6 linked regions of the Sus scrofa genome follow. The protein of the gene in region 1 interacts with the protein of each later gene in a pairwise test. Links are inferred from orthologs where the notes say so. Each region holds a gene or a part of one and is shown in the gene's direction. Other genes may lie near its edges.

What was found.
Region 2: the proteins of RASSF1 (region 1) and SUV39H2 interact in a two-hybrid assay, tested with the Homo sapiens proteins (2 studies listed by BioGRID and IntAct). The link is inferred for Sus scrofa from reciprocal best matches to the Homo sapiens genes RASSF1 and SUV39H2.
Region 3: the proteins of RASSF1 (region 1) and STK3 interact in binary tests that used the Homo sapiens proteins (3 or more experiments, as listed by UniProt). The link is inferred for Sus scrofa from reciprocal best matches to the Homo sapiens genes RASSF1 and STK3.
Region 4: the proteins of RASSF1 (region 1) and LATS2 come close enough for resonance energy transfer, tested with the Homo sapiens proteins (2 studies listed by BioGRID). The link is inferred for Sus scrofa from reciprocal best matches to the Homo sapiens genes RASSF1 and LATS2.
Region 5: the proteins of RASSF1 (region 1) and STK4 interact in binary tests that used the Homo sapiens proteins (3 or more experiments, as listed by UniProt). The link is inferred for Sus scrofa from reciprocal best matches to the Homo sapiens genes RASSF1 and STK4.
Region 6: the proteins of RASSF1 (region 1) and MAP2K3 come close enough for resonance energy transfer, tested with the Homo sapiens proteins (2 studies listed by BioGRID). The link is inferred for Sus scrofa from reciprocal best matches to the Homo sapiens genes RASSF1 and MAP2K3.

The regions. Positions count from the first base shown.
Region 1 is NC_010455.5:32,822,565-32,826,648, reverse strand, and holds the start of RASSF1 (ras association domain-containing protein 1), read left to right. Parts: upstream 1-1,284; 5' UTR 1,285-1,589; coding exon 1,590-1,839; intron 1,840-3,941; coding exon 3,942-4,048; exon of another isoform or gene 4,049-4,084. Other genes in the region: ZMYND10 (zinc finger MYND domain-containing protein 10), read left to right, coding at 1-2, 249-374, 457-578, 690-815, 904-979. UniProt on the Homo sapiens protein: Potential tumor suppressor. Required for death receptor-dependent apoptosis. Mediates activation of STK3/MST2 and STK4/MST1 during Fas-induced apoptosis by preventing their dephosphorylation.
Region 2 is NC_010452.4:46,897,094-46,901,112, reverse strand, and holds the start of SUV39H2 (histone-lysine N-methyltransferase SUV39H2), read left to right. Parts: upstream 1-1,219; 5' UTR 1,220-1,224; coding exon of another isoform or gene 1,225-1,255; intron 1,256-1,463; exon of another isoform or gene 1,464-1,642; intron 1,643-4,019. UniProt on the Homo sapiens protein: Histone methyltransferase that specifically trimethylates 'Lys-9' of histone H3 using monomethylated H3 'Lys-9' as substrate.
Region 3 is NC_010446.5:38,221,302-38,224,801, forward strand, and holds part of STK3 (serine/threonine-protein kinase 3), read left to right. Parts: intron 1-3,030; coding exon 3,031-3,223; intron 3,224-3,500. UniProt on the Homo sapiens protein: Stress-activated, pro-apoptotic kinase which, following caspase-cleavage, enters the nucleus and induces chromatin condensation followed by internucleosomal DNA fragmentation.
Region 4 is NC_010453.5:1,227,971-1,231,470, reverse strand, and holds part of LATS2 (serine/threonine-protein kinase LATS2), read left to right. Parts: intron 1-91; coding exon 92-198; intron 199-3,500. UniProt on the Homo sapiens protein: Negative regulator of YAP1 in the Hippo signaling pathway that plays a pivotal role in organ size control and tumor suppression by restricting proliferation and promoting apoptosis.
Region 5 is NC_010459.5:47,408,094-47,411,593, forward strand, and holds part of STK4 (serine/threonine-protein kinase 4), read left to right. Parts: intron 1-1,306; coding exon 1,307-1,474; intron 1,475-3,500. UniProt on the Homo sapiens protein: Stress-activated, pro-apoptotic kinase which, following caspase-cleavage, enters the nucleus and induces chromatin condensation followed by internucleosomal DNA fragmentation.
Region 6 is NC_010454.4:61,413,369-61,415,598, forward strand, and holds part of MAP2K3 (dual specificity mitogen-activated protein kinase kinase 3), read left to right. Parts: intron 1-573; coding exon 574-713; intron 714-2,230. UniProt on the Homo sapiens protein: Dual specificity kinase. Is activated by cytokines and environmental stress in vivo. Catalyzes the concomitant phosphorylation of a threonine and a tyrosine residue in the MAP kinase p38.

The DNA.
Region 1 (4,084 bases):
AGGTAGGAACTCCTCCCATATCAGCCCCACAGCCCCCTAGCCCTGCCCCACCCCACCCCTGTTTATTTTTACCCACCTGCCTCAACCCTAGGCCTCTCTCCAGAACTTGGGCCTCAGGTGACACACACAGAAGCTAATGGGATGTGGGTCCCACGGGCATCCTTAGTCCAACCCAGCCCAGGGTCTCTCTGTTCCTTGACCTTCTGGTCAGCACTGCTTCACACTGGCCTCCCTGGAAACCCTTGCAGCTTCAGGCATTCCTCACAGACACGCTGCTGGACCAGATGCCCAACCTGGCAGACCTGCAGGGTTTCCTAGCCCACCTGGCCCTGGCCGAAGCCCAGCCCCCTAAGAAAGACCTGGTGTTGGAACAGGTAGGCACTAGAAAGTTAGTTGCTCGGGACCACTGCCCACTTTGCCAGCTCCTCCCTGCTACTCTCCATTTCTCTTCCCCAGATCCCAGAAATCTGGGAGCGGCTAGAGCAAGAGAACAAAGGCAAGTGGCAGGCTATTGCCAAGCACCAGCTGCAGCATATATTCAGCACCTCAGAGCAGGACCTGAGGCTGCAAGCACAAAGGTGAGGCCTGCTGGAAGGGGTGGAAGAGATGCAGAAGGCATGGATGTGGGCAGGGCTGCTCCTGTCCCCCCACCCACAGGTCCAGTCAAGTCCTTCTGACCCTTTTCCCAGGTGGGCTGAGACCTACAGACTGGACGTGCTGGAGGCAGTGGCTCCAGAGCGACCCCGCTGTGCTTACTGCAGTGCAGAGGCCTCCAAGCGCTGCTCACGATGCCAGAATGAGTGGTACTGCTGCAGGTGAGGGTATCCTAGGATCTTGGATCCCTAAATCCCACTTCCATACCCCTCACAAACACTGAATCTTTACTGGCCCACTTGCCTGCAGGGAGTGCCAAGTCAAGCACTGGGAAAAACATGGAAAGTCTTGTGTTGTGGCAGCCCAAGGTGACAGAGCCAAGTGAAGGATGCAGCTGCTGAGGGCCAACCACCATGCCATACAATCCACTAGAGTGTACCCCTGAACCTCTGGATCTCGGCCTGGCCTCTGCAAGTGCCCCAGCCTCCCAGATGAGGAAGACAGCAGGAGGGAAGTGCTGCTGACCCATCTTCCCCAGCAAAGCCATCCCCACTTCCTGCCCCACCCGGCTTAGGGTGCAGCCTCAGCAAGCTGGGGAGAGAGGCCCTGGGCGGGGTTGTGGGGGTGAGAACCGGATGTGGGGACCCTCTTCCTTCAGTAAGTAAAGTAAAGCTGGTTTCCATAAAGACGCCTGTTTTCCGCGTGGTCGTCGTGGTTGTTAGGGGGAGGGGAGTAGCTCGAGGGATGAAGGGAGGTAGGAGGGCGGGGACTCCGCGACAGCAGCACCCGTGCAGCGCCCTCCGGGCTCCACTTCTCCTGCGGGAGGGCAGACGCAGCCTGGGTGCTGGGTATCCCTGGCGCCGCGCTCTTTTGCTCTCCCGCCGCTCTGCCTGAACCCCGGAGGCGGCGCCGCATCGGGGGCCCGCCCCGCGGCCCCGCCCGTCGGGAGCTCGCTCGGCGCCCAGAGCCAGCAGGAGTCCCGGCCGGACCGGGACATGTCCGCTGAGCCCGAGCTCATTGAGCTGCGGGAACTGGCACCCGCTCGGTGCGCCGCCCCGGTCCGCACCCGGCTGGAGCGTGCCAACGCGCTGCGCATTGCTCCGGGCACAGCGCGCAACAACGCAAGGCAGCTGGTCCCGGGCCGAGGCCACCGCTTCCAGCCTGCGGGGCCCGCCACGCACACGTGGTGCGACCTCTGTGGTGACTTCATCTGGGGCGTCGTGCGCAAGGGCCTGCAGTGCGCACGTGAGTAGCGCCCGGGGCATTGGCGAGAGTGAAACGGGTGGCCAAGCTGAAGGCCAAGTTGCTACGGAGGGGGTCAGTGGGGACCACAGACCAGGTAGTTTACTTTTGCCAAATAGCCTAAGACAGTGCAGGCAGATGGGTTATAACCTTGATATCTTACAAGCGTGCCACCTGCATATGGGACATAGGCAGCAGTGGTTGCCTGTGAATAACAAGGTGCTGCTTTCAAGTTTAAAAAGTGCCTTGATCCTTCTTGAAAAAGGCTTTGTACCCACCAGTCTTTGAGTTCATATTCCCACACCTGCCCCTTACAAAGATTCACTCACCAAGTCCCCCTCCAGAATTCCTGGGGTGAAGAGAATTTACCCGACAATGGGAGAAGGCCTTGAAAAAGTTAGACCCTTGGGTAGGCCCCCTGCAAGCAAGAGTTTTTGTTGAAGTTCTCCTTGTGGCTCAGCGGTATCTCATCTGACTAGTATCCATGAGGACATGGGTTCGATCCCTGGTCTTGCTCAGTGGGTTAAGGATCCGGCATTGCCATGAGCTGTGGTATACGTCGAAGATGTGGCCTAGATCCTGCATTGCTGTGGCTGTAGTGTAGGCCGGCAGCTGCAGCTCAAATTAGACCCCTAGCCCAGGAACTTCCCTATGCCGTGGGTGCGGCCCTTAAAAAAAAAAATAGGAGCGTCCACACACCAGCTGATGCTTCTGCCCTCCAGGAACCACCAGCAATAAGAGGTTGCTCTCCCCCCTGGCTATACACTTAGTATGCTTTTACAGTCCTCCAAACCTCTATGCTTGAATCCTACCTGAGACCTGTTGAATCGATCACGAGAGTGTTATCAGCGATTTTTAAAGACAGATCATTCTAATGTGCAGCCTGGGTTGTGAATCAGTGCTCTGGCCCATTTAGGAACTTAGGGAAGCTGTCCCAGGCCTGTGTGTCCAAGGATAGCCTCATCAGGTACAGGAGTTTGTCCTGAATTCAGCTGGGAGGAGCACAGGAGTTGTTACAGAATGCAAAGCATGAACAAGGGCTGGGACATTAGCACTGTTCCCAAGTAGAAATAAAGTGAATATGAAATTGAAAAACAGGAAAATTTGGATGTGTGTCAGAGGCAGAAACAAGGGAGGAATTAAGGATGAGTTAGGGTGATTTTTTTGCCTCAAACAACTGGGAAATTTTTGCTGAGATGAGAAGCTCTGGCAAGGGTAAGAGTGAGGAAAAGTGAGTTTTAAAGGGTAGGAAAGTGAGTTAAATTTTGGTCACGTTGGGTTGAGATATCTATAAAACATCCAAACGAAGAAACTGACACATGGGATTTGATGGGGTTGGAGTCAGTGAGGGAAGCCTTGGATCTCGGGTAGGTCAGTGTACACAGAGCAGGGAAATGACCAGGACTGAGCCTTTGACACTCCACTAAATCTGGAAGTTGAAACAGCAGGAGCTGTAGAGAGGTGGGAGGAAAACCAGGGTAGCACCCCCTCCCCGGGGTGGGGATCAAGGAGAGCAAGCATCAGACAATGCTGAGGAGGCGAAGATGGAGAAGGGCCCACTGGATTTGGTAATGCACAGGTCGCTAACAACCCTGAACAGTGCCGTGTCTGGAGGAAGAGGCAAGCCTAACTGGGATGGGTAAAGGGTGAAGGCGAGGAATTAAGTGTTTGTAGACCAATGTTGGTAAGCTTTTGGTGCCAGGGGAGTACAAATGACACCGAGAGGGTAGAGAGCATTGGGTTAAAAATTTTTTTATTTTTTTCCCCTTCAAATAAATGGGCGGAGGGAGGGGCACTGATAATAAGGAAGGGGAAAGTTCTGTCCTAAGCGCTAGGAATCCAACTGCTAAGCAGGCCTAACCTAACGCGTGAGGCCTTCAGGCGCCCCCGCCAGTTTTCAGGCGCCCCCGCCCCCACCCCCATCCCCCGGGGACCAACACTGAAAATCTGTGTAGCAGTGGGGCGGTAACGGGGCCGGAGATGAGGCAGGTCATGCAGAGCACAGAGAGCAAAGGCCTTCACACCGAGGCTTCCCTTCTGTCCCTGGGACGCTTCTCCAAGCTGCTGCTGGGGTTTTTCCGCCTCACGACCAGACCTCTCTGCAGATTGCAAGTTCACCTGCCACTACCGTTGCCGCGCGCTTGTCTGCCTAGACTGCTGCGGGCCCCGGGACCTGGGCTGGGAACCGGCGCTGGAACGGGATACGAACGTGGTGAGCACGGGGCAGGGGAGTTTATGGGCAAGGCAG
Region 2 (4,019 bases), on another chromosome or scaffold:
TGTTTTACTTAAATTTCTTTTAAAAATCGTTGGTAGACATTAAACAGCTTTCTGCGGAACTTTCGCAATTTACTAGTCTCAGATTTCCGCATCAGATCGTGCAGTACAATTACCATGGACGCAGTGTGTAGAATGGACGGGGGCGGGGTGGGAGTGGAGACCAGTTAGGTCCTAGCAAAGGACCTGTAGGACTTGGCATCTTACAGCCTACCCACAGGCATGGGGCGTAGCCTGGGGGCTCGTCATAAACGCGGAACCTCAGGTTCCAACCCAGACATACCTGATTCGAATCTGCATTTTAACGAGATGCCCAGGGAATTCCCATTACGGCTCAGCGGGTTACTAACCCAACCAGTATTCATGAGGATGTGGTTCAATCCCTGGCCTGCTCAGTGAGTAAAGGATCCCTGTTGCTGCGAAATGTGCTGTAGCTGGAGCTCCGACTTGAGCCCTAGCCTGGGAACTTCCATATGCCCCAGGTGTGGCCCTAAAAAAAGGCAAAACAAACAAAAACACCAGGATGTTCAGATGATTCCTGTACCCATTCGAGTGTGAGAAGCACTGTTCTAGACCAGAGGTTTCAAATTCCACATTTAGAATCACCTGGGGACCTCTAAAAACTCCAATGTTCCGGGTACACCTTTTGCCTATTAAATTTCTGCGAATGGAACCAAAAAAACCCCAAACCTCCAAGGAATCCCAACGTGCAGCCAATTTTGAGAAACTGTGATCTGGAGGAGTAGCCTGGAAGGAAACGTAACAGTGGCTAGTAGGGCTCAGGTGGCTAAGGAACAGGTACGGGAAGGAAACGTACTCTGCACTTTGTAGCTCCGCTCTGCGTTTGAAATTTTGCACGGTGTGTATCAGTAGCACCATGGAAAAGAACTAACAACTGTAGGAAAGCCTGTGGTAAGTGCCTTGAATTAGGCGCTAAACTAGGCAGATCAGGGCAGGTGGCCGCTGACCCAGCCCTACACTCCGGTATTCCGGCCACGGGCTGCTCTCCGGCCAGTTTGCCCCGCCCCTCCGCACACGGGGAGACAACGTGGGGCGCAGGCGCGCTGGCTGTCCCAGACAAGTCGGCCTCGGCTGACGTCAGGACGCCTCGCGGGTTCTAGCCCCCCGCCCCGGCCCCCGAGTCCCGCGCGGGCCGGGCGGGGGCGGGGCGTCGGCCAGCTGAGCTATCCCGTCCGACCGCGCCAGTTTGAATGAAAGCTCCTCAAGATGGCGGCGGCCGGGGCCGAGGCGCGAGGAGGTGAGGGCTGGAGAGCGGCGCCCCGCACTGTCCCCCGTCCTCCAGGCAAACTCCCGAGGCCGGGGAAGCGGGGCCGGGACGCGCGGGCGGGCCGGAGCGCGACGGGACAGGAAGCCTCCTGCCGCGCGGCTGACGCGGCGGCCCCTACACGCGCGCCGCGGGCCCCTCCCTGCCCCGGGCCCCTGACCCTCCTCGCGGCTCGGCCCGCCCGCGGCCCGCAGTCTCCTCCCGCGCCCGGCCCCCGCGAGGCCAGGCCCGCACGCCCCGCTGCCGGCTCGCGGACTCGGCGGTCTGGGTCCCGCTGCCGTTCGGGCCCGAGATGGGCCCCGGCCCGGCCGCGGTGCGGAGGCGTTCGAACGGCTCCGGCGGATCCCTGCGCGGCTCGAGGTCCGTGGGCACACGGGGGGCTCGACTCCTTTGTGCTGCTTTGAGCGGGACGGTTCGCGGTCCGGGCCGGTTTTTGAACTGGGGAGCGGGAGGCCTCCGGTGGTGTAGGTGTGACCTCAGTATCCGAGGAGAGGAGTAGTCGGGGCGGAGGTGTGGAGGCTGAGAAAGGAAAGAAGTGAGGGTACACCCCATTTTGGACTTACTGGGGGGCTTCCGCTCCCAGTTGGGAACATCCCAGGAAGTGGGTCTCGGAGGTTGTGGCCTCCGGCTCATGGGGAAGAGTTCTCCCCGGCGGGAGCTTGCGTGGGAATTAATGAGGTGGACGCCAAGGAGCTCGGTGCTGAACGTGTATTTGTGCGCGCGCTGAAAGACTGGAACTTTCAATGCCTTCTGGAACCTGAAAGGTGTTTCCAGCACTGCGCTTCTCGGCATAGATCGTGGACTCACTGCCCCCCAGCGTGTCTGCCACTAGGGGTTAGTGTGAACTCAAGTTTTGGGGGTGGTCGCGAAACGTTTAATCTTATAAAGGAGTTCTTTCCCTATCTTATTAGAGGCGATCCGAATTGTTACCAGGAGTTTGCAGGTTTTTTAGGTTCCAGTCGTTCTCAAACATAGCATTTCTGTCGAGGCTTGTGTCTTGAATCTGCATAGTACTCCGACTAGATAACAATGGTAGGAACAGCAGACAAACATACCTTGGGTAGATAATCCAGAGGAAGGTCCTTTGCATGCCATCAGCATAAGGAGGTTATCTTGACGCAAAACTTCCTGAAGCTTTTTCAGTGAAAGGATTTAAAGGGTCGTTTCTGTTCTGCCAAATTCCCCTACGTCCAAGCCAACACTCCAAAACAAGCACACTCTTAGCCCTAAATTTTGAAGAGAACAATTCCTTTCACTTTCTTGGTCTGGAATTACGAACCCTACTTCACGGTTCCTGACGGTGAGGTGCCTGTGTGAGTTGGGGAGGGTGAGGACGTAGTAAGAACAGCTGTGTTCTCTCTTCCCTGGAAATTACTTCAAAACAAAAGGTTATCACAACTACCTTGGAGAGCTACCAAGTAAAGCTTGCGTTTACTGATGGATTTTGTTTGGTAATCCCAGTTTACTCCAACCCTCACTCCTTTCTTCCCCCCCCCCCCCCCGCAGTGAATCTGAAACCTAGAAACAGAGAAACTTCTCTAAAGCCAGCCTCAGGGAATCTGGGGCAAAACCCCCTGATCCTCCCTAGTGCTTCTCATAGTCTCATAGCCATAAAACCAAGTTTATGACATCAATTTGTGTTAACATTTTAGGTGCAGTGGGTAGCATGCTATTTACAGGAATTTGAGGGTAAAATCTTCCTCAGCACAGTTAGTTTCTAGCTTCCATTCGTTTCTAGCATACTCTTGATTATGAGTATGTCTGCTTTTCTTCAAGCTTGGTGTATGGATTATTTAAATTGATACTCTGTATTGTCATTCTCGGCTTTAAAAACAATACAGGAATTGAATATTAGAAAACTCAATATACTGTCCATTATTTTATTATAATTCTTGGGCTTATTTACCTTGATAATAATATATTGCAGCCTGGGCAAAACTGGAGTTAAAACTTCATGCAGCCTTCCAAAGTGGGGAAAGTAGGCCATATGATGTATGAGTAACTAAAGAATTATATTTCAATTAGGTTTTATTTCTTATTGTTCAGCTAGGAGAAAGGGGGAACGTTACTTTTAACAATAGACGATAATTTTAAAATATATTTAAGATGTATTTATAGTGATGATTAGTATGTCCTTGAGATCTACATTTTTATTAAAACAGCACTTCTCTGTAGAATACAATGGAAAAGTAAAAAATATCTCTACCTTTGCATTTATATGTAATTTAAAAAAAATTTATTGGTGCTTAGTTGACTTACAATGTTGTGTTAGTTTCAGGTGTACAGCAAGTGAATCAGTCATAAATAGAGCCATTCTTTTTTCCCATTAAGGTTATTACAAACCATTGAGTAGATTTTCCTGTGCTATACAGTAGATTCTCATTAATCATCTGTTTTCTACAGTAGTGTGTGTATGTTACTCCCACCCTCCCAATTCTTCCCTTCCCCCCAATGGTTTCACCTATAGTAACCTTAAGATTGGTTTTGAAATCTGTGAGTTTGTTTCTGTTTTATAAATTAAGTTCTTTTGTGTCATTTTTTAATTAGATTCCACATATAATGCATGTAATTTTATGAAAGCTTACAGACATGAAACATTTTGTTCAGGTGGCCTAGTAGAAACTAATTGACATCAACTAAACATGTTAGGGTAGAGACCCATGAGAAAATCCAAGAAGACCGATTTACCAAAATAGTTCTTTAATGGTTAACTTTTTCTTAAAGACATGTAAATGAT
Region 3 (3,500 bases), on another chromosome or scaffold:
AATTGTAAACCTGCACCTCTAACTTAAGCAACCAAGTAGACCAAAATTTAAATGTAAGTTAGGTACATGTATTTGGGGAATAGTGGATTAAGCAATATAAAGGAACTAGTTTCTTAGTTGCAGCTCTACTTTTAAGTAGGTATGTGACCTTGGAGAAGTCTCTTACTTTCTATAGGCTTAAGTTCTTTCTGTATAAAATGAGAGGTTGAATTATTATTATTTTTTGCTTCAAAAACTGATTTTTTTAAAGTATAGTTGATTTATAGTGTTGTGCCAGTTTCTGCTATACAGCATATAGTGACCCCGTTTACACACACACACACACACACACACACTGTCTTCCATCATGTTCTATTCCAAGAGATTGAATATAGTTCTCTGTGCTGTACAGTAGGACCTCATTGCTCATGCATTCTAAATGTAATAGTTTGCATCTACCAACAAGGAGAGTTTTGGTTGAATTATTACAGGTTCATGATTTTATAATTCTGTGAAAAAGTAAAATATAACAAATGCTTACTGTGTGTGTAATACTGAATGAAACACTTTAGTAGGTTCAGAAATACTAAAAGGCATTCTTAGCCATAGGTACTTACATTAAAAAAGATTTTATAAAACAGTTAAATATGAGATCATAAATTTAAATGCAAAAATGTATGATGCAGGTTATAAATTCTAGAAGTTTGGAAAAGAAGATAACTAATAAAGACTGAATTGCCCATGAAGGTAAAGATACTTGAGGAGTTCCCTTCGTGGCTCAGTGGTTCACGAGCCTGACTAGGAACCATGATGATGCAGGTTTGATCACTGGCCTCGCTCAGTGGGTTAAGGATCCGGCGTTGCCATGAGCTGTGGTGTAGGTCACAGACATGGCTCTTATCTGATGTTGCTGTGGCTCTGGTGTAGGCCAGCAGCTGTAGCTCCGATTCAACCCATAGCCTGGGAATCTCTATATGCCATGAGTGCAGCTCTGAAAAAAAAAAAAGATACTCGATCTGGAACTAAATAGGATTTAGTTAAGTTAGAGAGGAAAGAGCATCCTAGGTAGAGAAAAAGACATGAGCAAAGATGAAGTCCCTTTTGTGTGTGTGTGAAAAAAATACAAATTTATTATTTTATAGTTCTGTAGGTCTGAAGTCTGAAATGGATCTTACTGAGCTAAATTCAAGATATTAGCAGGTTTGTGTGCTCCTTTCTGAAGTCTCCACAGGGGAATCTCTTTTCTTGCCTTTTCCAGCTTTGGAATTGCTCACATTTCTTGGCTCATGGCCTCATCCCATTCTGTCTTCAAAGCGAGCAACTGTAAAGTTGTTCTTACATTGCCTCTGTTAGACACTGATGATGATGAGCATATTGTGATATGGGTTTATAGCAAGCATCTGGAGACTCAGTCAAGGTTAACCTGACTATCTTGGACCATATGTGAACAATGCGAAAATAGGATCAGCCACATAACATAACATAGAGGGCATTAAAATCTGGGCAGTTTTGTTTAGCTTTCATTGTAGGCAGAAACCGGGAGCTATTGCAGATTCTTCAATAGAAGAATATTATGATACAAATAGTATTCAAGAAAGATTGGCATAGTAGGTATACTTTAAAGAAGGCTGGAAACTACCTTGTCCCTAGTAGGCTGCAGGCATTTTGAATACCTCTTCTAAATAATCCTCATAACACCAATGAAAGAAAAATGCATTTAATACACCTAGCCTGCCAAAAAGCATAGCTTAGTCTAGCCTGCCTTCAGTGTGCTCAGAACCCTTAAATTAGCGGACAGTCAGGCAGAATCATTTAACACAAGGCCTATTTTGTAACAAAGTGTAGAATCTCACACGATCTGCTGACTCCTGTAGTGAAAAAGCACAGAATGGTTGTAAACATATTGGTTGTTTACTTCCCTGATCACATGGCCGACTGGGAGCTGCAGCTCACTGCTGCTGCCCAGCATCATGAGAGTATCACCGCATATTGCTAGCCTGGGAAAAGTTCAAAATTTGAAGTACAGTTTCTACTGAATGTGTATCTTTTTTGTATCATTATAAAGCTGGAAAATTCAAAGTGGAACCATTGCAGTCACGGACCATCTATTTGTAGATACTTACATACCAGTGTTGAGAGCGTTATTTATAATAACCAAAAGATATAAACACCTTAATGCCTATTAACAAAGGAATGGGTAAACATAAGGTGGTGTGTGTGGGGGTGGATGTGTGTGTGGCACATACACACGTATGTACATTGGAAAATTATTGTCTTTAAAAGGCATGAGATTCTGACATCCTGTACAACATGAATGAACCTTGAAAATATTGTACTCAAAGAAATAAGACAGACACAAAAGGCATGACTCTACTTAGAGGAGGTAGAATAGGTGGATTCATAGTGACAGAAAGTAGAATAGAGGTTACCAGAGATTGGAGGGAGGAACAAGGAGTTACTTTTAATGAGTATAGAATTCTCTGAGATGATGAAAAATTTCTGGAAATGCATCTTGGTGATTGGACAACATTGAGGATGTACTTAGTGTCATAGAACATGGTTAAAATGGTAAGTTTTGTGTTACATATTTCACAATTTCTGAAAAGCTAACAGCTCCTGTACAAAGTTACGAACATTATTAATGCTGTTATAATAGTGCCAACATTTCTCTCTTTCATGTGCTCTCTTTTATTTGTTTATTTTGTTACCTTATTCTTTGTTGATCATCTACCTATTTGAATCATTATTTTAAGAACAGCTAGCAGCTTTCTGTTTCACCAGCCAATTTCTATTGCTTGAGCTTTAGGTTATTTTGGATAACTTTGGCTCTTACGATAATATAACTAACAGTAGTCATTATTAAACATATACTATGGTCCTGGGTCACCATGCTATACAGTAGAAAAAAAAATTGTATTGGGGAAATAAGTATTAAAAAAATAATTTAAAAAACTGCAAAATAAAAGTATACTATGGTTGTACTGTTGTTAAGAAGTAAGATATCCAGCTGTGTTAGAAAAGTCTTCCTTCATTGCAGTGTTTTGCTTGCAGGATGAAGATGAGCTGGATTCCCACACCATGGTGAAGACCAGCTCGGAAAGTGTGGGCACAATGAGGGCCACAAGCACGATGAGTGAAGGGGCCCAGACCATGATTGAACATAACAGCACAATGTTAGAATCTGACTTGGGGACCATGGTTATAAACAGCGAGGACGAGGAGGAGGAAGATGGAACTATGAAAAGTATGTGGCTTTTTCCCATTGAATATTAACTTTCTGTTTTGGGAATATACTTCTATAGGAATCAGGATAGTTCTGTGTTACTTTTTATAGCCAGTTGTGCAAAGTTTTGTTTCTTGGCTCTATTTAACAATGAAAGACATTTGACACAAGTAAGTTTTTAAAAATTCTTTTAAAACAGCAGAAAGCAGTGCATCTTTAATAACCTAAGGGGTTATGGAACTTTTTGCTGTTGAAGGATGCTAACCCACAATTTAATTTGTAAAGTGTTTTTGAGATA
Region 4 (3,500 bases), on another chromosome or scaffold:
AGAGCACATACGGTGCTTGTCACAGGCTGATGGTGGAAAATCAGGACGCATCCGGGCCTGTGCCCCTCAGGAGCCCGACTCTGTCTTTCAGGGTACACCCAGCTCTGCGACTGGTGGAGTGTCGGCGTGATTCTCTTCGAGATGCTGGTGGGGCAGCCGCCCTTCCTGGCCCCGACTCCCACGGAGACCCAGCTGAAGGTAACGGAGCGGGAGTCGGGGCTGCCCCGTGGGGCTGCCTGATGAGCCGGGCGGTCTTTGCCGACATCCACCTTTTATCCCCAGTGGTGTAGTGCTGTCCCTTGTCCCTGTGTGTAACGGGAGTTTTCAAAAGTATTGTTGTGGGGAGGTCCCATCGTGGCTCCAGTGGTTAATGAACCCGACTAGTATCCGTGAGGATGCAGGTTCCATCCCTGGCGTCGCTCAGTGGGTTAAGGATCCGGCATTGCCATGAGCTGTGGTGTAAGTCACAGATGCGGCTTGGATCCGGCGTTGCTGTGGCTGTGGTGGAGGCCGGCGGCTGCAGTTCCGCTTTGACCCCTAGCCTGGGAACCTGCATACACCACGGGAGTGGCCCTAAAAGACAAACACACACACAAACACACACACATACTATTATTACTACTTAGTTAAAGTGTTTTAATAAGTAAAGGCACAGAGTCAGACCCAGGTTTTGACTTGAGGTATTACGGGACCGTGGTCCCCTGCCGTCTTGGTATCTCCAGGTGGGGATTGGGAACAGAGAAGCAGGAAGGCTGCAGGTCTGGGGCGGCCGAGCGAGACCCAGCAGAGCTCAGAGCTCAGAGCGGTGCCCGAGCAAGTCGCTGTGTTGCTTTGGATGTTGGGTGTTACCTGGTTGCCGCTGGCAGGTTGTCAGCTGTGTGGTCAGGCTAGCTCTGCATGTTTCTCATGTTCATTTCAAGTAAGTAAAATCTCTCTGTCACGTAACAACTTAGTGCTAAATAGTTTTAGCACAGGGGCCCTTTACTCTCCGAAGTGAATGGTTGGATGGCCTCGAAGGCGGGACGGGAGCCTCGTTGACGTCTCTGGAACTTCTGAGAACCGCGCTCCCACCTGCTCCCTGACAGTCCTAGAACGTTTTCACATGCCCCTCAGTCCACGGGAGACCCTAAATCAGTAACCTCTTGGTTAGGAAAACCTTAAATTAAGGCTTGGTTTTATTACAGTGATCATAAGTTGGAGTTTGGCAGTGTCTGTATCTTCATCGAACTGCTAAACCAGTGACTGATTTGCCTGCATGATGATAACCTGGTGCATAAATGTGCCGACACTTGGCATGGAAACCCCTTTTAAGTGTACAGTTCAGTTGCATTAAGTCTGTTCAGAAAGGTGTGCAGCTGTCACCACTGCCCGTTTCCCGATGTTTCCATCATCCCAGGCAGAAGCTGACCCACTCAGCGGTGGCCCTGGGGCCCCGGAGCCTCTCTGCTGCTTCTGCTGCCATGAAGTGGCCTCCTCCGGGCCCCGATATATGTGGCACCATGCAGCTCTGGCCTCCGTGGCTGGGCCCTGGTATACGTGGCACCGTGCAGCTCTGGCCTCTGTGGCTGGGCCCTGGTATACGTGGCACCGTGCAGCTCTGGCCTCCGTAGCTGGCTCGTTTCACTCAGTTCAGCCCTGCTGTCGCCTGTGTCCGGATTTCCTTTCTAGGCTGAACGGTACCCCACTGTGTGTAAGTAACGTTCCACTTTGTCTGCCCATCGTCCGGTGGTGGCCGTTCAGGCTGTGTGTCCCCTGCCCTTGTGAACAGGGCTGCCGTGAACCTGAAGGTGCCTGCCTGGTCCCTGCTGTCTCCCAGTGTGTCTGGGTCGATGCCCAGGACGGGCTTGCTGGGTCCGCGGTTATTCCACCTGGAACCTTCTGAGGAACCTGCGTGCTGTTTCCACCATTTGACGTTCCCTCCGACAGGGAGCGGAGTCCCTGCTTCTCCGCATCCGTGCCCACATTTATTTTCCTCTTTTTTTAGTAGTAGCCTTTCTGGTGCGTGTGAGATGGTATCTCCTGGCAGTTTTGAGTTGCGTGTCCGTTGTGTTCAGGGATGCTGAACGTCTCTTCCTGTGCTTCGTGCTCATTTCTGAGAGAAAGGTCTCTTCAAGTCCTTGGCCCCACCCCCCACTTCTTTCTTTGTCTTTTTTTTTTTTTTTTGCTTTTTAGGGCCGCACTTGCAGCACATGCAAGTTCCCGGGTTAGGGGTCCCAGCCTGCAGCCACAGCAATGCCAGATCCAATCTGCATCTGCGACCTCCACCACAGCTCAGGGCAACGCCGGATCCTTAACCCATTGGGCGAGGCCAGGGATCGAACCACAGCCTCATGGTTCCTGGCCAGATTTGTTTCTGCTCTGCCACTGCAGGAACTCCTCCTTTGCCCTTTTTTGATCAGGTGGTTTGGGGGTTTGTTGTTGAGTTCTTCTTGTATTCCTGACGTTAATCCTGTGTCACATCTACACTGGGCATCAGTCTCCCCCTCCATGGGTTGCCTTTTCGCTCTGCTGATTTTGATGTGTACAAAGTTGAAATTTTGTTGAGTCCGTTATGTGTTTTGTGTTTTATTGCCTGTGCTTTTGGTGTCATATCCAAGAAATCAGGGCCAGATCCACCATCGTGGAGATCCTCCTCTCTGTTTTCTTCTCTGAGTTTTATAACTTCAGCTCCAGTAAACAACTACTCAGGTTCCAACCATCCCTCGTACCCCCGCTCCACCCTCGCGCCACCCCACTCATGTGGCCTTGGTTCATCCTGACTCCGGGTGTAAACAGGAAGTCCCTTAGAAAAGAAAAACAACGTTTTCGGAGTTCCCTTGTGGCGCAGCAGATGAAGGATCTGGCGCTGTCCCTGCTGTGGCTGGGCTCGCTGCCGAGGCGCAGGGGTGACCCCCTGGCCCAGGAACTGCCACATGCTGCGTGTGCAGCCGGGAAGGAACAAAAAGAAGTCCCCGAGGCGTCCTCTTCACAGGGAACCTGACCGTGACCCAGGCTGCTCTGTGTGCTTGAGCGTCGGGAACCGAGGGTGTCTCTCGCACCCCGTTCCTCAGGCTGTGGGCCTCCCGCTAAAACCACGCGGGCCATTAGCTGTTCACGTCCTTCTCTGTCTCTTCTCTTTTCCCGAAGGGAAACTATCAAAGTCTTACTTTGATATTAAAAATTTTTAGATTGACGTGTAGTTGGTTTATGGTATGTGTTTGTTTCACGTGTACACAGAGTGATTCAGTTGTGTGGTGTTTCCAGGTTCTGTGCTGTCTCAGGTTATTACAAGACATGGGGCAGTTCCCTGTGCTCTTCAGTAGGTCCTTGTTGCATGTCTGTGAGTCTGGTTCTGTTTCGTAAGTTCATTTTATTATGTTTTTCTAGATTGCACGTAGCAGTGGTACAATGTGGTACTTGTCTTTGTCTGAACTGACTTCACTAAGGATGATAATCAGTCCCTAGGTTCATCTAGGTTACTTCGAGTGGGATTGTTTCATTCTTTTTTATGGCTGCGTGGT
Region 5 (3,500 bases), on another chromosome or scaffold:
ACAGCAATATTTATTATTATTGGTTATTTTTTTTTTAAATTATTGTTCTGATCATTACTTTTCTTCTACAAAGACAAGGCTATGTTATATGTAATTTTGAATCTAATATTTTTGCTTCACAGTGTGTCTCGTACATTTTTCCCATGTCAGAAAAATGTATCTAGGAGTTCCTGCTGTGGTGCAGTGGACTAAGCATCCAACTGCACTGGCTCAGGGCACTGCAAAAACATGGATTTAATCCCTGGCCCAGTGCAGTGGGTTAAAGGAATCCGGCGTTGCTGCACCTCTGGTGTAGTTTGCAGCTGTGGATCAGATTCAGTTCTGGCCCAGAAATGTCCATATGCTGCTGAGGCAGCAATAAAATTTAAAAAAAAATGTATCTAGCTCTTTTGTTTTGTTTTGTTTTTTCTGGGGTCACACCCGTGGCATATGGAGGTTCCCAGGCTAAGGGTCCAATTGGAGCTGTAGCCGCTGGCCTACACCACAGCTCACAGCAACGCTGGATCCCCAACCCACTGAGCAAGGTCAGGGATCGAACCCACAACCTCATGGTTCCCAGTCAGATTTGTTAACCACTGAGCCATGCCGGGAACTCCTAGCTCCTTTTTTTTTAATGTGGTGTTTCATTGTGTGGATATTTATTGTACTTAACTTGTTGCCTTTAGTTGGTAATTCGTGTTGTTTCCTTTTTCTTTTCTCCTTTCTATTACAAATATTTCTGAAATACTTATGCATATATCTTGGGGTACTTATACATAGGACACATTTCTAGAAACAGATTTTTTTTTATGGCTGTACCTGTGACATATGGAAGTGTCTGGGCCAGGGATTGAATCCAAGCCACAGCTATGGCAATACCGGATCCTTAACCCACTGAGCTGGGCCAGGGATCGAACCCGTGCCTCTGCAGCATCCCGAGCCACTGCAGTCAGATTCTTACTCCATTGCGCCACAGCAGGAACTCTCAGAAACTGATTTTGGTCAAAGGATATGGACGTTTAAATTTTATAAATGTTGCCAAATTGCCTATTATCAGTACTAGTTATTGTTAATCTTTTTAATTTTTGTCAATTTCATTTTAGTGGTTTTATTAATTGATTGTTATTTTTATGTTTAAATAATTGAGACTCTTTTACATGTCTGTGTCATTTGAATTTCTTTTGTGGCTGCTTGATCGATCATGCTTCTTTAATATGGTTTTTGTGTGTATTTCAAGTCCTAGTCGTGTCTTCTTGTTGGTTTGGACAGGACTCTCTTTCCCAGTAGTTTTAATGCTTGGTGTTGATCTTCCTCCTTTCTATTTTAGGATACCATGGCCAAAAGAAATACAGTGATAGGGACACCATTTTGGATGGCTCCAGAAGTGATTCAGGAAATAGGGTACAACTGTGTGGCAGACATCTGGTCACTGGGAATCACTGCCATAGAAATGGCCGAAGGAAAGCCGCCGTATGCCGATATCCATCCAATGAGGGTAAGAACATGGACAGAATATCAGCGGGGTGGTTAGTTACCAGTGATCATTAGAAGGTTGGTTCAGCGACTTACTTGGTTAGGTACCAAACAATAAATGAATTAATTTTAAATAGTTGATAAGTGTCAGTCTAGACTCCAGTTGTACACTTCCATTAGTTGTAGTCACTTATGAATTCAAGTGTAATCCACTCCTCTCCATTCCAAAGATTGTGTACTCGTAGCCCTCTGGCAGGACATGGGCCAAGAAATGCTTGGTTTGACTTGTGCATTGTGTGTGTTTTTAATAGTTCAGGTTCTCGCGTTTTAATATAACAGCATTAACTGGAGCTGAGGAGCAGTCCTGACCTTCATACAGGGGCGTGGGCTTAGCACTTTCCCAGTCTCCACGATTCCGTATTCACCAAGTACCAGTTATTGCTTATTGCAGTGTTTTCTGTTTTTCTTATAATAGTATTAAGAGGAAAGCAGACTGTTTTTTTGAACTCATGTCACTAACACCCAGCCTGATTCATTTGTTGTCTTTTTCCTGTCTCGTCCTTACATGAGTGAGTTCTGGAGGCTCTGTGCTTTCCAGGCTCCATCCGCTTGTGGAGTATGAAGGGCCCATAGAGTCATTCTCCATTGAAACTCCTTCTGTGTTGATAGCTAAGCAGTTTCCAGGCTTCAGCCACCATAGAACCCCCCTCGTCACAGCACTGTTGCAAGAGCTCAACCCGGCCTTCAAGGGCTCCGTAGTCCTCTCCAGACTGCCCATCCCAGCTCCTCCTCTCCTCTGATTAAGTAGTCCTTCTGTCAAAAGACCTAACAGTTTTTTTTAAAAGTATTTGTGTGAAAATAATATATATACAAAATAAAGTATTCGTGTGCTCAAAGATAAGCTCCGTCTTTGTAGGGGGCAGAAGTGGAGAAGGATGGGAAGATTTACTGGTTATATTTTTAGATTGAATGAATATAATGTAAGCTGCTTATTGCAGAGTTTTATTTTTTCTAGAAACTGTACTTCTTTTATTGGAAACACGATAAATAATATAGGCATACCTCGTTTTATTGCACTTTGCTTTATTGCTTTTAACAATTGAAGGTTTGTGGCAACCCTGCATCAAGAAGTCTGTTGGTGCCATTTTTCCAACAGCATTTGCTCACTTAACGTCTCTAGTCAACATTTTGGTAAATCTCGCAATATTTCAAACTTTTCCATTGCTGATATATTTGATATGGTATCAGTGATCTTTGACGTTACTATTTCAAAAAAAGATCATAACTCACTGAAGGCTCAGATGATGGTTAGCATTTTTAGCAATACATTATTTTTTTTAATGCAGGTATATACATTGTTTCTTTAGACATAAAACTATTGCACACTTAATAGACTACAGTATAGGGGAAGCATAACTGTTATATGCACTGGGAAACCGAAAAAATCATGTGATTTGCTCTATTGCAGCAGTCTGGAACTGAACCTACAGTATTTCCTATAGTTTTATTTTTTTTGGAAATAGTAGAATTTAATTGCCATGTAGTAGGCCAATTTTTTTTCAAGTATGTAGAATTAATGTGGCTTGGAGGCTGATGACTCTCTTGTGATTTGGGGGACTTCTAGGTTTATGACCTCCTTTCAGTCACTTTTTTTTTTCTCTGCTTTTTAGGGCCGCACACACGGCTTCTGGAGGTTCCCAGGCTAGGGGTTAAATCGGAGCTGTAGCTTCTGGCCTATGTCACAGCCACAGCAATGCGGAATCCCGAGCCGTGTCTTCGACCTAGACCACAGCTCACGGCAACCTCGGATCCTTAACCCACTGAGGGAGGCCAGGGATCGAACCTGCAACCTCATGGTTCCTAGCTGGATTTGTTTCTGCTGTGCCACAACGGGAACTCTGCAGTCACTTATTATATCCAGGGGTGGTGGTAACTTTTAGGGAAGAGGGAAACTTGACAGCTACAGGGCTGGGGTTCTCTTCAAGATGTTGATGTTTGGTCTTGCCTTTTCACTTTGAGTGGCAGTGTACTTTGGTCAGCAAAACCCC
Region 6 (2,230 bases), on another chromosome or scaffold:
GCCTGTGACCTACACCACAGCTCACGGCAACGCCGGATCCTTAACCCACTGAGCGAGGCCAGGGATTGAACCTGCGTCCTCATGGAGGCTAGTCAGGTTCATTAACCACTGAGCCACGACGGGAACTCCTCGTTTGCCCTTTCAGGGGTAACAACCCAGATCAGTGCAGCAGATGCTTAAGACATTGTGGAGGCATCGTGGCGGGTGGCCTGTGGCAAACAGGGATGCTGGTTACCCAGGTTCCTTTGCCGACTGCCACCTTGTGGGAAGGTGTCCCCACCGTTTCTCCAAAGGAGCTGGAACCTAGGTTTCCATGTAAAATCTTCTGAATCCAGATTGAACACCCAGCGTAGCCAAGCCAGTCACAACTCGGGGTGAGAGCTTAGTCTGCTGGCTGGGTCAGAGGAGTAGCTGCTGGGGTCCCCTGCCTTTCTCGCTTTGGCCTGACGGGCTGTGTCCGCCCTTCACCTGCCTCACAGGCCAGCTCTGGGCGCTGGGCCAGGATCCGCGAATGGGCTCCGGGGCTGCAGAGCTGCGGCTGCGCTGGACCCACTGTGGCTGTCTCCCCTGCAGATCGAGATGGCCATCCTGCGGTTTCCTTATGAGTCGTGGGGCACCCCGTTCCAGCAGCTGAAGCAGGTGGTGGAGGAGCCGTCCCCTCAGCTCCCAGCTGACCGCTTCTCCCCCGAGTTTGTGGACTTCACCGCACAGTGGTGAGCCTCAGCCCCGCCCGGACCTCTGGGCCTCCCCAAGCCCAGTCAGTACCCTCCCTCTTCTGGCAGATCCCAGCTCCTCCCTGGGTCCCGTCTCCCTCTCTGTAGGCAAATAATGCCCAAACAACATCAAAATATACAAGGCAGACATAATTGGAGCACAAGGAAATTTGACGAAAATGCTCCTGAGGATAGGTTTTATTTATTTTTATTTTGTTGCTTTTTAGGGCCGCACCCATGGCGTATGGAGGTTCTCGGGCTAGGGGTCTAATCAGAGCTACAGCTGCTGGCCTGCACCACAGCCACAGCAACAGCAGATCCGAGCTGTGTCTGCGACCCACACCACAGCTCATGGCAACACCGGATCCTTAACCCCCTGAGCGAGGCCAGGGATCGAACCCAGAACCTCATGGTTCTCAGTCGGATTCATTACCACTGCATCACAATGGGAACTCCTGCTGGGGGTAGATTTTTTTTTTTTTTTTTTTTTTTTGTCTTTTTGCCACTTCTTGGGCTGCTCCCGCGGCATATGGAGATTCCCAGGCTAGGGGTCTAATCAAAGCTGTAGCCACCGGCCTACGCCAGAGCCACAGCAACGCGGGATCCAAGCCGTGTCTGCAACCTACACCACAGCTCATGGCAATGCCAGATCCTTAACCCACTGAGCAAGGGCAGGGATCGAACCCGCAACCTCATGGTTCCTAGTTGGATTCGTTAACCACTGCGCCACGACGGGAACTCCTGGGAGTAGATTTTAATACAGTCCTAGAAACAGGAGGATGAAGAAGATCCAAAAAGGAAACGAGAAACTTGGGCGTTCCTGCTGTGGCACAGCGTTAAGGATCCAGCATTGTCTCTGTAGTGGCTTGGGTTGCTGCTGAGGTGCAGGTTTGATCCCCGGCTCAGCCCAGCCCAGTGGGTTAAGGATCCAGCATTGATGCAGCTCTGGTGTAGGTCACCGCTGTGGCTGGGGATTCAGTTACTGGCTTGGAAACTTCCATATGCTGTACTGTGGCCAAAAAAGAAGGAAAAAAAAAAAAAAAAACAACCAAAAGCTTAGAGAGGATTTAAATGCATAACAAATTTGTTTTTTGTTGATGTTTAGAACTTTGTACCAAATTAAAGAATGCCCACAGGATCCTTATAAAATTAATTTCCTTGAGGTTACAAAAGAAATAAGGGAAAAGGCAGAAGGCAAAGTCATATAAGCCATGGTCTCTGACTGTAATTAGATAAAACAGGAAATCCATAACTGAAAAGAAAATATCTGTATGGAAATTAAAAGTAAATTCTTCTTGGGTTATGAGAGAGACTTAAAAATAAAATTATAGACTAGTCAGAAGTGAAGACAATGAGAACGTAACATATCAACATCTGTGTGTTATGGCCAAAGAGATACTCAGAGGAAAATTCACAGCCTTTATTTCTTTAATTGGAAAATAAGAAACAAGTGAGCCTGGCTGACTGAGCCATTCTCTTCCAGAACCCATAGTAGGGCACTTCCCCTCTTGATTAGG